2 linked regions of the Macaca fascicularis genome follow. The protein of the gene in region 2 interacts with the protein of the main gene of each other region in a pairwise test. Links are inferred from orthologs where the notes say so. Each region holds a gene or a part of one and is shown on either strand. Other genes may lie near its edges.

The links.
Region 1: the proteins of CLK4 (region 2) and UBL5 interact in a two-hybrid assay, tested with the Homo sapiens proteins (2 studies listed by BioGRID and IntAct). The link is inferred for Macaca fascicularis from reciprocal best matches to the Homo sapiens genes CLK4 and UBL5.

The regions. Positions count from the first base shown.
Region 1 is NC_088393.1:10,369,145-10,373,686, reverse strand, and holds UBL5 (ubiquitin-like protein 5), read right to left. Parts: upstream 3,029-4,542; 5' UTR 2,886-3,028; intron 2,629-2,885; 5' UTR 2,618-2,628; coding exon 2,562-2,617; intron 2,366-2,561; coding exon 2,282-2,365; intron 2,120-2,281; coding exon 2,082-2,119; intron 670-2,081; coding exon 626-669; 3' UTR 515-625; downstream 1-514. UniProt on the Homo sapiens protein: Ubiquitin-like protein that plays a role in cell proliferation and sister chromatid cohesion by associating with spliceosomal proteins. Participates thereby in pre-mRNA splicing by maintaining spliceosome integrity.
Region 2 is NC_088380.1:185,417,326-185,421,139, forward strand, and holds part of CLK4 (dual specificity protein kinase CLK4), read right to left. Parts: intron 3,045-3,814; coding exon of another isoform or gene 2,987-3,044; coding exon 2,884-2,986; intron 2,072-2,883; coding exon 2,005-2,071; exon of another isoform or gene 1-2,004. UniProt on the Homo sapiens protein: Dual specificity kinase acting on both serine/threonine and tyrosine-containing substrates.

The sequences.
Region 1 (4,542 bases), on a different chromosome or scaffold from region 2:
TTTTAGCAGGCATGGTGGTACACACCGCCCAGCTACTTGGGAGGCTGATGCAGGAGGACTGTCTGAGTCCACTTCAGGGCTGCAGTGGGCTATGATCGCACCACTGCATTCCAGCCTGGGTGAAAGAGCAAGACCCTGTCTTAAAAAAAAAATGGTGCCAGGAACTGTGGATGTTTAAACATGCTTTAAACTCATCTATACCTCCTCAGGTCTGTGTGATTTCAGAATCTTAATTCCTAACAATTCCATCTACTGTCATGACCTGGAGGCTCTTTGGTCTATTAGGGTGACAATAATCCCAGCGTCTCTTGACCTTCAGACACCCACAGCAAACCCCAGAGCTCTCTCTGGGCTCCTACACAGACTCCCAGCCTGCTGGTCTACTCTGCCCTCATGGATCCAGTTGATCTGGAGCTCTTATTTCAGCAGGTACATACTGATGGTGCAGTGATGACCTAACAGCGACCAATCCATCCATCACTAGACAGCTCTCATGCAAAGAGACAGCAACAAAGCAACATCTAAGTCTTTATTAAGGTGAGTTTTTACAAACAAGCATCTATCCCAGTGTGGGGGATGAGGATGGGAAAGGAGAGCAGGGCAGCAGGAAGATGAGGATTCTCATCTATTGGTAATAAAGCTCCAGGTTCATCCCATCGTGGATTTCATCTGAAGGAAAGGTGTTAAGGAATCCTGACTCTGGCTTCCATCCCCACCCCTCTCATCCATTCACAGCTGGGTCAGGGTGGCCTGAGGTCTCAGTTCAGGGCTAAGGAAGCCCATTTTGGACCAGGCCATTTTTATTTGGAGAGAACTGAAACTTTACCAAAAAATTTCTGGCTGGGTGCAGTGGCTCACGCCTGTAATCCCAGCACTTTGGGAAGCTGAAGCAGGTGGATCACTTGATGTCAGGAGTTTGAGACCAGCCTGGCCAACACTGTGATGTTTAAACACAGTGAAAACCCATCTCTACTAAAAATACAAAAAAGTTAGCTGGGTGTGGTGGTGGGCACCTGTAATCCCAGCTACTTGGAGGGCTGAGACAGGAGAATCGCTTACACCCAGGAGGTAGAGGCTGCAGTGAGCCAAGATTGTGCCACTGTACTCCAGCCTGGGCAACAACAGCAAAACTCCATCTCAAAAAAAAAAAAGTTTCTGTTCCTTCTAGGCCAAGTGTAGTGGCTCATGGCTATAATCCTAGCACTTTGGGAGGCCGAGGCGGGAGGATCACTTGAGGCCAGGAGTTCGAGACTAGCCTGGAAAATGTGGCAGAACCCCATCTCTACTAAAAATACAAAAACTAGCAAGGAGTGGTGGCACAGGCCTGTAATCCCAACTACTTGGGAGGCTGAGGCAGAATTGCTTGAACTCGGGAGGTGAAGGTTGCAGTGGACCAAGACCGCGCCACTGCACTCCAGCCTGGGCGACAGAGCGAGACTGTCTCAAAAAAATAAATAAAATAAAAATTCAAAAAGTTTCTGTTCCTTCTGCACAATAGATATACCTAAGTCTCACCCCACCCTGACCTACTGTCCAGCACTCAGGTGGAGGTCAGTAATAAATATTTTGAACTTGAAGTCAAACTTTCACCAACTACCCTCTCCCCAACCAAATAATTACATAGCTCTCATGTTCTTCTTCTTTTTTTTTTTTGAGACAGTCTTCGCTCTGTTGCCTAGGATGGAGTGCAGTGGCACGATGTCGGTTCACTGCAAGCTCCGCCTCCCCGGTTCAAGCCATTCTCCTGCCTCAGCCTCCCGAGCAGCTGGGACTACAGGCGCCCGCCACTATGCCCGGCTAATTTTTTTGTATTTTTTAGTAGAGACGGGGTTTCACCGTGTTAGCCAGGATGGTCTCGATCTCCTCACCTTATGATCCGCCTACCTCGGCCTCCCAAAGTGCCGGGATTACAGGCGTGAGCCACCGCGCCCAGCCTAGCTCCCACTTTCTAAGTGCTCACCATGTGCCACGTACTAAGTTAAACACTTAATAAACATTATCTCATGCAGACTTTAGTTTGGAACGAAGATAACCGAGGCTGGGTATGTAGATGCTTCCTCAAGAAGTCACACAAAGGATACAGTCCCCCAGAGACACGTGGTCCTTAAAAATCGTGTACCTAAGGAAAAGAGACATTTCAGAGATAAGGCTAAGTAGGCTCTTCAGCCTGGAGGCCGAATGAGGTAGCCCAGCCTAAGCAAAGGGCTGCTTGCAGCGCTCCCCCAAACCAAAACCTTCCGGCCTAGTCCAGTCCACCCAGTGGCTCTACTACTGCACTCACCACTTCTTCAGGACAATCTTGTTCCAACGGGTGCCAGTTTGGGCTGCAATCAGCTTCTTAAGGTCCCCGATAGTATCATCCGTGCTGGGCGCAGAGGAGTTAAGGCAAATGGGAGCGGTAGAACGAGGAAGAGGACATTCCAGGGCTGAATACCATCTGCCAGGACCCCATCCGCCCCCTCTCCCGGGTTTAACTAAAACCATCCGACAACAGATTGAGTTGCCTGCCTCACGCCAAGCACCCCTGCGAGTACCACTGCCTCTCGGCTGCCAATGGATACTTGCATTTAACGCGGACCTTCTTCCCCAGACGGTCGTTGCAAACAACCTCGATCATCCTAGCTGGAGCTACACAGAGCAGTGGGGTGGGAAGTAGCAAAATCAGAGCTTCGGGCGTCTCCCAGACCCAGAAGCCCCAGCCTACAAGTCTCCCAGTCCCAGGCCCTAAAATTCTCGGTTACTGAGCCTTCCGTTCTGCTCCCAACCCCCCGCACTCGAATACTCCCAGGCCAAGTCCCCTGTCCCAGGGCCGCGAACCCCAGGCAGCCGCGCATCCGCCCCTTCTCGACGCCTGAATGCCCTGACACAAAACTCCCTGGCCTCACCTCCCACCGACCCCAGACCCTGGGTGGCTGGGTCGCGACAGCTTTCCCCAACTCCGAGCCTCTCCGCTTGACCCCCTCACCTCGAATCGCCTCGAACCTGCCGACGCCACTAGCTCCTCACCCGAGCGCAGAACCCCGGCTGCAGTTGACGCTGGGAACCGGAAGCGGAAGTAAAAATGCGGGGCCGGAAGTCCCGCCCCTAGCCAGGCGGTGTGGTCAACACGGGCTCAGGTTCTTCCGGGTCTGCAGTCTGTTGTGTGTTTGCGGTTCACAAGTACGGTTTCCGTGACCCAAGGCTTGGCAGGGGGACGCCTGCGGTAGGCGCGTGGGGTAGAGAGGGGGGTCTTGGCGGGTGTGGGGCCGGGGAAAGGGCGTGGAGCGAGAGCCAGAGGTCCGGCGCTGGCCCCAGCTCTTTTTAAGTCATTGTTGCAGGGAGACTCGGTCACATGGTGGGACACCAGAGGGTCCCGGGGGTGGGGGCCCGAAGCCTCTTTATGCGGGTACTAGGAGCGAGGGCGGAGGGAGTAGGGGGAGCGAATTCTGCAGTCATCCCTTCTGACCCCCTGGGTTCATTCAGGGCTGGGCGTCGTGAGCATTTTGCTCACCTCTGCCCTCTGGCCATCGCATTCCCCCGGGATGCGGACTCCAGTCAATAGGCGAAGCTGGATCCTGGACTAGACTCTACGCTGCCCAATAGCTGCTGTTACCGCACAGTTGCAGGCTCTTGGTGCCCCGAACAAAAATTTGAACGAGTCACACAGAGATAGCAAAGCAGCAAGTTTATTAAGCACAGTATTCCACTCTCGGAGGGGAGAGCGGAGTGACCTCTGCGAGATAAGATCAGCCCCAGCTTGGTGTAGTTTGGGTCTTTTTTTTTTTTTTCCCGACGTAGTCTCGCTGTGTTGCCCAGGCTGGAGTGCAATGGTGCGGTCTCGGCTCACTGCAGCCTTCGCCTTCCGAGTAGCTGGGATTACAGGCGCCCGCCACCACGCCCGGCTAATTTTTGTAGTTTTTGTAGAGATGATGTTTCACCATGTTAGCCAGGCTTTTCTTCTTTTCCCAAGGCTGCCTAATCTGTAGCCAGTGTCTACCTTTTTGAATGATAGGTGTGTTGCTTAGTTACTTTGGCCCCTGTGCGCTTGAGGGCCGTCTTCATTCCATAATTTTAAGTACCTGCATGATATGCCGTCCATATGCATGAGCGCTAATGAGCTGGTTATCCTTACGTTAAGGATACTTTTTGTGTTTAATGCGCATGCTTATGCCTAAAGAGCTGTTCCTTACTGGTTTGGTCCTGATTTCCCTGGCCATGGGATTTTTACTCAGTTTTTAATCCTCCTTTTGTTTTGTCTCCTCAGCTTCTGCCATTTATCTTGCTTCTTGCTCACCCGCCCCTTCACCTTGCTTCTGCTCTCTGGTTTTACTTATTTTGCCCTTTATCCAACGTTTAATTCCCTTTGCTCTTCTTCTGCTTCATTTTCTTTGTTCTCCTGCCTCACTGTCAGTCACCAACCTTAAATGCCTGCAAGGTAACTGGAAACTTTGGACAATTGCACAGTCTCCTGCATCTATATCTTTGGGGAGCACTCCGTACCAGATTCCAGGTTTGCGAGGGCTGGTGAGACAAGGGCCTTCCTTCCTCAATTCAGTCAATTTG
Region 2 (3,814 bases):
TAATATAGAGTAACAAAACATGGAGTGAACACCATGAGGACAAACTAAAAGGATGAGAGTCTCTTCAATAGACAATGGCCAATGACCAAGGCTGAGAGATTATATAAACAAAGTCTACAGAATTACACAGGCTATGGAAAGGGTAGACAGGATGAACAGACTGATTTAATTTTTTAAAATATCCACTGAATGCCCAGTGAATATTTCACTATAGCCTTTAAAATAGCCAAGACGGATGAGGGTAAGGGCATTCGTTTTTATATATCCACAGGTCCTGTGGGAGATAAAAAAAAAAATTATATAAGGCAAAGTCCCTGCCAACAAATAATGAACAACTTGAGATTACTCACATAAAAATGAAACAAAATCCAACAATGTAGGAAATTCTAAAAAGTTACAACACATGAGTGCTTAGAGTCAGAGATGGGGAAAAAAATCTGTTTAAAATGGTCAGAGAATAATTACAAAAAAGATGGAAATAGAGTTGCATCTTAAAGGGAAGCCAGGATTTGGACAAAATAGAATACAGAAGAAATTCTGGTGGAGAAGAATGGCATGTTACCATCTTAAATTCATATGACACTTTTAGCCACAATGGCTTAGAGATGGATTTGTCTATGCATTACTCAGGAAAAAGGCAATCCCGGCAAGAGCAATTTTCACACAGGGGAATGTAGACAAATAAGTAAGCTGAGAATAGCATCATTAAAAGCCCTGCATGCTAGGCTAAAGAGTATTTCTCAAAAGACGGTCTATTTATCAGCAATATCAAATATGGAGTTCTTATTAAAAATGGTAACCCTGGGCCTCAAGTCATACTCACTGACTCTAAATCTGGTCAACATACCTCCAAGGTGATTCTTATTCACACTAAAGTTGGAGAATCACTGCTTTAAGACTTGATACTTTATGTTACAGGCTTCTATGCACAATATAAAGATAGGGTTTACAGCCACATCAGTCTTTCTAATGCAGAATGGATTAACTAAGCCTGTAGAAAGGGAGACCAATTCACAGGCTACCTCCAAAAGACAAATCATAAAGACAAGACACTATGCAACATATATATGACAAATGGTTAAAATAATATGTCATAAAAAGCTCTTCTAAATCAATAAAATATACTTTAATAAACAGGCTAAGAATAAAAAGATGTTCAAATGATCAATACTTATGTGACAGTGGACAAATTTGTTAGAAATTTAAAAATTCAGTTTAATCAAAACATTATTCTTGGCCTTTCAAAACAGCCAAGATTGGTGAGAGCATGAAGGGGCACGTTGTATAATTTGGCAAACTTTCTAGAAAAAGAAATATGAACCTGTAGCAAGAAACCTTTAAGAGTTCATATCCTTTACCTTAAAAATGCTTCTTCTTGGAGTGTATTTTCAGGAAATAATCAGCAGCAAAGATTTAGAAACAAAGATTTTTTTTAAATTATAATTTTACAGCTAAATAATTGGGACTAATATCCTATAGAGATTACCATTTTTATACTTTTCTGCATTTTTCAGTTTTTTGTTATTTTATAAAAACACTCAAAGTTTTTGATCTTCAAAATTAGAACATTCTGGATTATGGTGAATGTTGACCACCAAACACATCTGGTACCAATGTCAAAGAAGGTATTGGCCTGGTGGTTAACTGGACTCAGTATCATGTTTATGTAATTAACTATGAGCATGAATGAATTATTCATCACTCGTATCACTTCCTTTCTACATATATAATGTATAATTATCCTATTATCCAATGAGTAACTAGTACTATGACGTTAAGCCTTAGGGTTTTTTGTATTTATTAATAGTGGGGTACAGATAGTTTTCTTTAGTATACTGTACATTAATTATTAATTATTTCTGGTCTTTGAAATCCTGCCATAAACCTTCCCACTTCCCCTTATATAACAATGTGTATGAAGCATGATTTGTCTGCACTGACTACAAATAAGCTCAGTTTGGCAGAACAAGTCTGTTAACGTGGAGAAGGAAAGAAATTACATACTGTTTTTTAAAGTAACCCCAGCTGGCTAATTTAGAAAGCAATCTGGTAAACAGTCCCAATGGAACATCTGCACAAAACAAGAAGAAAACAGAACCAACAAAACAAACGAAAAAGGGAAATTAATGAAACAGTGAAAGAAACCTACCTAGCCTTTCTTTAATCATTTAGAACTTTAAGATTCCTTTAATTCTATATAAATGTATTACCTCCAAATTTTACACTGGTAAGAATACAATACAACAGGACACACGCTGTTGCAAGTTTTTTATTGAGGCCATTTCCCAAAATTACTAGCTACGACCTATGAAAACAACAGTTCTTAAATAAAGCCAGCTTCTAAAAATCCCAAACAAACATATCCCTTGGCCTCATCTACAAATACAATACAGTGTTTAAGTGACTAATAATACATGTTGCTTTTCTCTGTTGGAGTAACTCCTCCCCTATAAAACCCTATCTGATTTCTGAAACACTTAATGAGCGCTACAACATACACGTCTCCCTCTTATATACAAATTAAAGGTACGCATTGGGCATTCGATCACTATTACTTAACTTTTTGTGTGTCATCTCCCTAGTCACGTTACTGGCAGCTGGGACGCACCATGTTATTTAATACATTTTACATTCACTTACTGATCAACTGTCTCCTACCACTCCCAGGGAGACAGACATACATAAGGATAAGAACTTTGTTTTATTCACAGCTGCAGCCTCAGCACCTATAGTCTAGTCTAAAATAAGTACTCAAATATTTTCTAAATGAGTATTTGTTGACTGAATTATAAAACAATTTGACAGATGAAAGCTATACAAGCAAATGACAAATCATTTAAAACTATTAGAGCTACAATGCTACTAGTTCAAGAGTTGATTTACCAATCAGATTCTTTAAACTGGTGACATGGTTTACAATGCCTGTTCTCTTGTGTGCTACTATGAGATCTCCTCTTCCGCTTGTGACTTCCACGGTAGCTTTCATGTCCCCAGCTTTCTCTGTTATCCCAATCAGGGCAGTGAGTTCGTTTGGAATGCCGCATCTGTTGATAGAAATGAAAAGGGAATTGCGGAGGTTATAGATGTGTGATAGGTAAAATATTATATATTAATATTATTTATCAAAACCCAACACACAGGGTCTTAGAGGCTCCAAATTCTTTTTAGGTGGTAATGTTTCCCAAGGCACTGGTATGTCAGATGACTGCTAAGAAGCATAGAGATCTAGTATTAAACTGTGGGTAATACTGATACCTTAAGACATTTTTTTTGAATTCTGATTACATCCAGGACAAATTCTCAGCTTGGTGCTTGTCTTCAACTAACACTTGCAAACTGACTTTTTAAAAATTAAAAAAAAAAAAAAAAAAAAAAGGGCCAAATGAAAAGGTTCAGGGGTACCGTTTCCAGCGGACAAGAGTATTTAGCTAAAAATTAGTAACTTTTTTGTTTTATCTTGTTTTGTTACTTTCTACTTATTAGTGATTTTCCAATTAAGTCACTGACATATTTTCTTTTAAAAATGTTAACATTAAAATGTGAGCTGATTTAAGGAGAAATAATATCACAGTGTCATGGAGCTTTGGCAAATTACTGTAATACAAATAACTTTAGTGCGAGACAAAAATACTTAGGGATACTAAATATGGGAGGTGACTTTGTTTTAACTGTAAAGAGCTATTCAATGATGAAGCTTTTTTTTCTCAAATTCTCCAAAGTTCTTTTCTCTAAATCTCAGAATGACTCTAAGCTTTGGGAATATTAGTTCTGTGTGGATAGAACACAATATTCAACAGAGAAACTGAAGACATAT